Saccharomyces cerevisiae S288C: one gene and its partner. The gene in region 2 interacts genetically with the main gene of each other region. Each region holds a gene or a part of one and is shown on either strand. Other genes may lie near its edges. The genes, in order: PMT6 and SHE3.

Region 1 (3,933 bases), on a different chromosome or scaffold from region 2:
GTACATACGTCACTCTCCCCATCATTGCAAAAGGCAGATAATGTGTCATCCAGGAAATGAAAGGAAAAATACCCTGTATCGTTATTTGCCAGATTTGATCGTCTGAGAGATAAAGCGTTTGTCTCCTCCAACGATATAATATAAAAAGAATAATAAATGGGAAGATGATTAAGGAGACAGTAGAAATCCATGTATTGAAGGGAGATCCCATCAAGTAATATCGAGTGATATATCCCGCCCATGAACACATTCTTAGCCCTTTATGCAAGGTTGGCCATTCCCATGCATCAGACGATAAACTATCATATTTATCCTCATCAGGCACTAACGCGTTATTAGAGGAGGCCATGGCAAAATTAGTTAGAATAAAATCGGTCCAAAAATTGGATTTTGGTGGAACGTAATCTTCTGCGGTTTCTAAATTGTGGTTCCAGTGATCTTCTACATTCCACCAGGTCGATTTGTCCCTACGACTCCAGGAGTCTTTGCAGACGATTTCAGCTTGTTTAAATCCCCAAGCTGGATACGTCAATCCAGTAGAAGCCAAGTAACAACCTAAAACTTTGTGTCTCAACCTGAAGAAAGTAGAAACTGGATGTAAAATAGTTGAATTCTCATTAGAATAGACGGGATTTGGTGAATCCATTTGTTTCACAATCTCCACTATCCAATCATCCTTTTCATCGCCAACACTTTGTGACCCATAGCCTGAAACCTCATAATTTCCTCTAGAGACGTGAGAAGGTACATCATGCGAGTGAAGATTCGATCCTGTATTTTTATGGCTGAGACGAACTTCCACACCATCCGTTATTGGGATTATTTTGCCATTCAAAGTCCCGTTCTGATCTAGTTCCAATCCAGAAGACCTAGAAAATTCAAACTTCCAAACATTATTAGAGTCTGCGAATCCATATCCAGTGATTTGGCGCTGTCCAGAGCCTTCTGGGTATACTTGAATATGTGAATGCAGCAGATTCGGGCTTAAACCATGCGACCTTATGGTTAACTCTGACCCAAATGCTACATCACGAGGACCCGCCTCAATCTGAGTTCCCTCCAAGTTTATCTGAAATAACGTATTTGTAGTAGAATCCCCCGTGCCAGATTTGTACAACAACACAAAGTGAATTTTGAAGCAATAGAGATAGATAAGAAAAGGAATTACTATCAGATTAATGATTCTGATAAGCCAATGTTTGTAATATTTTATTCTAGGCAATTCTTTATCACAATAGAGCAAAAATAGTTCTATACATGTGTAGAGGCCGACTACAACTGTGATAAAAAGACCAACCCATTTCACAGAACAAACGCAACCAATAGATAAACCAGTTAATAACATCCATAACGACCATTTTTTCGTCATTTGTTGCTTTCTCAACGTATACAACTTTATCATACAGGCAAAAGTCGTCATCGAGAAAAAAAGCAGCATTGAATCTAGCAATATGAATTTTGAGAGGACAATATATGAATGTTCCAACGTTACCATCGTAGCAATCAAATAAACAGTAAAATAATTGAACCCCATCCATTTGGCTGTAAAGAAAGCTACTGGTGTACATAGAGCTCCAAATGTGGCATTAAATTGTCTCATTAGTTTAAAGTTTACGTTTTCCGGATATGCATTATTAGAGGAAAAGTCAAATTGACCGTCAAATCCTGCCATCCATTCGCTCAATGCAATAAGCATTTTACCAAGTGGAGGGTGGACATCGTGGTAGTACTCATGTTTGATGTAGTATGATCCGAATTTCCCAAAATGAGCCTCATCCCAGACAACATAATTGTTCTGATCTATATGTTGGAATCTTAGATAAAACGAAGTTATAGTTAATAAAAGGGGACCTATGACATCCCTTAAAATTTTCAACGCAGTGTATTCTTCATTTTTTTTTGTCCTATGTTTTTCTTCTAGTTGCTCAAAGCAATCTAATTGTTCATCTTGAATATCGGAGGCATTAGCTTTTGGTTGATTAACATAACGTTCGCGTAAGTTTTCATCTTCAGTATCAATTGATGAAAATCCCGTTCCCTTGGCTTTACTCATTGGTAAATAATAAGAAAAACAGTATGTTAGGACTATCGTTTGGTATATTAAACTGCCAAGAGAAGATAATTTAAAGAATTGTTTCAACGCGAAACGTGACTATAGCTAATGCTCTTTTCAAATTATTGAACTTATTACATTTATAAAAACGGGTAACCTAATAACGTCAAGTATATGGGCAAAACCGTTATTGAAGAGAAGATGTTCCATTGTTCATCAAATTAATATAAATCAATGAATAATATAATACAACTAGATTGAATTACATCTTTATGCTTTCTATGAGTATCTTTACACCAGAATATACTTGCGCCCATATGTATATATGTGTGTGTATATATCAGAAGAATTATCGTTAGTAATTGCAATACCTTAGGGAGCGAATGGGATTCAACTCTTGGTATTTAATACATTTTAGCAAAGAGTTTTTGTACTCGTCATCTTGATATTTCTCGTAAATGAGGGACAAATACCACCAAACTTCTGGGGAATAGTAAGCCTCGATCGATTCTAGTATTGCGCACTCCAATAGAAATTTTAGTCTTGCATACGCTGCTGACCTATCTGTGTCATTAACGAACGTAAGTTTGGCCCTCTTACCTGGTTTTTTATCAAGGCTGAGAGTATAATAACGCTCAAGATTAGTTTCCTCGACGCCTAGTTCTTCAGGGAAAATTAATTCAGCGAATCCGACCAAGGCATCTAAATTATTCTCATCATAGTACAGAACTGTTTCAAATTCCTTTAATGCCACGCCTGGTTCATCTTTTATTATTGATAAATAACCGTTAGCAATATTACAATTTAAATTCTTGAATTTACTTTCGACATTGGAGGCTTCTTTGATGGCGGCCTTGGCATCCTCATCATTGTCTTTTGTTCTCATGTACATATTTGCAGCAAAAATCCACACCATTTGTAAAAGATATTCTTTAGTTTGAGAATATTTGGGACCCATGCTGTTCAATTCAGGTTGTGAATCTGGAAATAATGTTGCGTATAATTCAAAGACCTCTGGAAGTGTCTCCAGTGCCTCTAAAGTGCCAAAAATTTCTTCAATTAGCGCCAATTGCGTTAATTTTAGGTGAATAAATTGCCATCTATCATTCAGAAGTAAAGTATTGTTCTGAAGACTTTCATTCATAGCTTCTAGAACAGAGCAAACTATCTTGTACGACATTTCCTTATCCTCTTGCACAGACCTACAAAGAGCTAATAGATGCCAAGCTTTGTAGTAATTTGGGTTTTTACTTAATATCAATGATTCTAGAGTCTTGATTGCAGTTTCAATGTGCCTCTGTTGTGCTAGAGTGTAAGAATATTTAAATTGTAATTCACGTAATGCCTTCTCCTCCTCTCCTTCTTCCTGCTCTTCTACATCAGCATTGTCTTTTTCTTTTGTGGACAGCATCATTGCATTACATAGATATGAAGTCAAATTATTAGATACAAGAAAATCTAACTGATATTTTCTGATTTCGTACAATGTTGACCACGCATTTGTTAGAACTTTCGAAATGTTTCCTGGGTATACACATCTGGTGCTGTTTTCTAGCCAATCTAAAGATTCTGATTGGCTCATTAATGGCAAATTATATTCTTTGTAGAAGGAATTCAAGGAAGTCGCAAACGTAGATACCGTATTATCGTAATCAAAAACATTTTCGATTGAATCGGTTTTGGAGGAGTTTTGTAAAATAAAAGAATACGCATCAATGAATGAAATTATGTCACGGTGGGAGTTATCGTGCAGTTGATAGTACTTGTCGTTGTATTTCACAAAATTAACAAAATTTAGTATAGATTCTCTTTTAAATGTCTTCTTCTTTATTTCGTCATTACTGTTATCGCTTAGGTTTTGGAAAAGAAACATTGCTGTT
Region 2 (3,812 bases):
CACAAATCTTGTTGAAGTCCGGATCACAGACAATTACAATTAAAAAATCATCAAAGTACCAAAATAGGCAATTATAAAAATCCTCCTTGTCTTTGGAGTTTTCAAAGTTCAAATTCAGTTTCAGGGCTTGGTATGATGATGGCAACAGGTCTGAATTCAATGGGGAAATTAGGAAACCAAATCTCGAGTTGCCTATCGTCCCTCCAACAGCCTCTGATTGCGCCATCAGTGGGGCATTCGAATTTGCGTTATCATTGCTATTTGAGTAATTATTTTTGTCGGCACTTTTGTTAGAGGATGAAATGAACGGCCAATGGGGCTTCGGTACATAGTCCATTATCATGGATAAGCTACCCGAAACACCAGTCGTGGTACTCACTTCATGTATAGCGTCGTATGCAAAAGAAATGGGGAGTGTTACGTTGTGTATCACTCTTTCCGATAGAGAGAGTTCGCTTGTATTGTTTTGCGTAGTCTCTTGGTGCTCCCGTCGCTGTTGCTCCTGTGATTCCTCTTCGTCTCTTCCGTTTGTATCACGACTTCGCTCTTGTTCTTCTTCTACTTGTAGCTCCTCTTTAAAATGGACATTTCCTGTTAATATATGACTTGATATTTCACCATAGGTGCAGTGCAAATGATATAGCCAATTTGAGATATCTGGTAATGTGTTCAGGTCACTGGTAAAGTTCCTTACTAGTCCATAAGTTTTTGTTCCCATAGACTCCCTATTAGCCGCTTTGGTGCGCTTTGGTAGGTGGTAAACCAAAATGTCCTTTAGTCCTAGATAACTCTTTTTATCTAAAAGAATATTCTGCAAGATTATAGCGTCCCATGACTCTTCGACATTATTTTTTTCTCCAGGATTATAAGAGGAATGTTGAAAATTTGCCCTTTTATAAAAACCAGGCCACATTACAGTAAATGATCTATTCGTTACAGTTTCTAGATTCAAATAAATATCATTCCAGAACGGAATAACGAATTCGTTCAACAAATCCGTGAGTTTGCGGAAGTCCTTGTTAAATCCGCTGAATGACCCATTGAGTAGCTTGAAGAACCTGTAACTAAGCCATAAGTAAGCACTGAGATACTGTAAAGGTATGGCACTCTGATCGTCGCTGATATTCGAAATTGCTAGACTGATGAAAAATCTTGATTCCACCTTAATACAAAAAATAATATCATTGTTCAGCTCAATAATTTTCTCTAAATCTTCGCCGTCCTTGTTTACGCATGAACTCGTAAGTGACCAAATGCCCTGTATTACTCCTATGATGGACAGTTTTTCGTTTAAAGAGGGTATTGAATCAGTAGTGCCAAAATAATGGAACAGCAGCAACTGCTTGAAAGTGTCATTTTCGTTGGTAGATCTTGATGGATCAAAAACCGTAATATAGTGTAGTCTCATATCCGTCTTTCATATATCAATTTAATAGTTGTACGATTTAGAATGTATTTTTGGTTCCACGTCAAATGAAACTATTTCCCTATTGCTACTACATATTATTGTCATCGCAATAAAATAGGCTAAATAGTTACCCGCTCGTTTCGTCTTTTGTTCGGGCGAGAGCTTCATTACTAACTACTATTGCATTTTGTTTATTGATTTGTTGCCATGAGTAGCAGCAGTCTGAAGGGGTTACCAAACGTTAGCTCGTCTATCAAGCACGCCAAGGTTCAACGACACTACTTTTGTGTAAGATGTCGGACCAGGATAATACCCAGACTTCTTCAAGCAAGTTGGCACCTCACCATAATATTTTTATGGCAAACTTGGAAAGTTCCCCCACAAAAGATAGAAATACCTCCAGCCAAAATGCCTCATCTTCGAGAGTCATTGAATCACTGCATGACCAGATTGATATGCTGACAAAAACAAATCTACAATTGACTACGCAATCTCAAAATTTATTGAGTAAATTGGAATTAGCACAATCCAAAGAATCAAAACTACTGGAAAATTTAAATCTGCTGAAGAACGAGAACGAAAATCTCAACTCGATATTTGAAAGAAAGAACAAGAAGCTAAAAGAGCTAGAGAAAGATTATAGCGAATTGAGTAACCGTTACAATGAACAAAAGGAGAAAATGGATCAATTGAGTAAATTGGCGAAAAATTCTAGTGCCATTGAACAATCTTGCTCTGAAAAATTGCAAAATATGGAAGTTAACTATAATTCATTATTGGAGTCACAAAATCTTTACAGAGACCACTATTCTGATGAAATTTCCAAATTAAATGAAAAAATCGGTTTGTTGGAGTTAGAGTTAAGTAATCAAAATTTAAATTATGGTTCAGATACTAGTTCAAATTCAGATATAGAATTGAATTTAAATAAATTCAATGACTCTGTGAAAGATTTGAAATCTCTGGAAACAGAAAAGGATTCAAAATTAAGCAAGATAATCACTCACTCTTTAGATGAGTTAAATCTACAAAGCTGGCTAAATCTGTACCAGACGAACGAAAATCTGATATCAACTTTTGCTGAAAAGATGGATTTGAAAGACGTCTTGAAAAGAAACGATGAGAAGATTAGTAATAAAGGCGCGGTAGTACAAACCTTGAAGAAGAATGTACAAACCCAGGTGGAAAGCAACAACGCTGACGCTTTGAGTAGCAATAATGCACAGGATATGCTTCCTATTAAGATGGTCAAATTAAGAAAGACGCCGAACACAAACGATTCATCCTCCAATGGTAATAGCAGTAACAATAAAAGAAGAAGTTTCTATACTGCGTCGCCTTTGCTGTCATCGGGTTCTATTCCAAAATCTGCATCCCCGGTTTTGCCTGGTGTTAAAAGAACTGCCTCAGTAAGAAAACCAAGCTCGAGCAGTAGTAAAACAAATGTAACGCATAATAACGATCCAAGTACATCTCCCACAATCTCAGTGCCTCCCGGTGTTACAAGAACTGTTTCCTCCACTCATAAGAAAAAGGGAAATAGTATGGTTGTTCACGGGGCCCAATCCTAGAATATGCCGACACAAGGGAGTATATATATAGGATTCATTTAGATAATAGAACAAAAGTAAATAGATGCCTCTAAGGTTTTATAGACACGAATCCATATTTTTCACTTTCGGTCACTCACAACGGTTTTTTCTCTACTATAATGTGGCTGAAATTAAACGAACAGGCCAAAATGTGGTACGCAATAGTAGCCAGTAGGTGAATTAACCATAAATAATTACGCTAATTTTGCCTTGGTAAATTTCATAAGACCAATGATAGCAGGTGCGACTGCTCCGTCAAGTCAGCATGAAATTTTGATCGCATCGAATCTCATCAAGAAGCCATCAACGTCTCAAAATAAAACGCCGACAGCTCAATCCAGTTCAGGTAACAATGGAGCTGCTGATGGTGCACCGCAGGGTTACCATCATCACCATCATCACCATCGTCATTTATGGTGGCCTCGGACAACAGACCATCAATATTGGTGTGTCTTGAGGAAAAACCAATTTGCCTATTACAAAACTCGGGATGAAAGAGAGGCTATAAGTGTCATACCGAGATTTGACATACTTAATTTTAAGATAAGCGAGCTCGATGGTATATTAACTGTTTATACTCCATCCAAGGATTTAATATTCAAATTTCCACGAGGGCAAAATGAGAAGGTTGGTATGGAACTGATGCATAATTGGAAAATTGCCCTTGAAAAATTCCTCTCTAGTCCTAGTGGCAACGAAAGTGTCACTACAGGTAGTGATTATGATGAAGAAGAGGATGATGATGATTTAATTGTAGTTGACGAAAAGGCGGGTCCTTCTAGCAGCAAGCATTCTTGCAGTTTGACGATGGA

Evidence for each region.
Region 1: mutations in SHE3 (region 2) and PMT6 together harm fitness more than expected from each alone (negative genetic interaction), as found in Saccharomyces cerevisiae (2 studies listed by BioGRID).

What each region holds. Positions count from the first base shown.
Region 1 is NC_001139.9:895,622-899,554, reverse strand, and holds the start of PMT6 (dolichyl-phosphate-mannose-protein mannosyltransferase PMT6), read right to left. Parts: upstream 2,054-3,933; coding exon 1-2,053. Other genes in the region: YPP1 (Ypp1p), read right to left, coding at 2,409-3,933. UniProt on the Saccharomyces cerevisiae protein: Protein O-mannosyltransferase involved in O-glycosylation which is essential for cell wall rigidity. Transfers mannose from Dol-P-mannose to Ser or Thr residues on proteins.
Region 2 is NC_001134.8:494,759-498,570, reverse strand, and holds SHE3 (She3p), read left to right. Parts: upstream 1-1,701; coding exon 1,702-2,979; downstream 2,980-3,812. Other genes in the region: CCZ1 (Ccz1p), read right to left, coding at 1-1,408; OPY1 (Opy1p), read left to right, coding at 3,232-3,812. UniProt on the Saccharomyces cerevisiae protein: RNA-binding protein that binds specific mRNAs including the ASH1 mRNA, coding for a repressor of the HO endonuclease. Part of the mRNA localization machinery that restricts accumulation of certain proteins to the bud and in the daughter cell.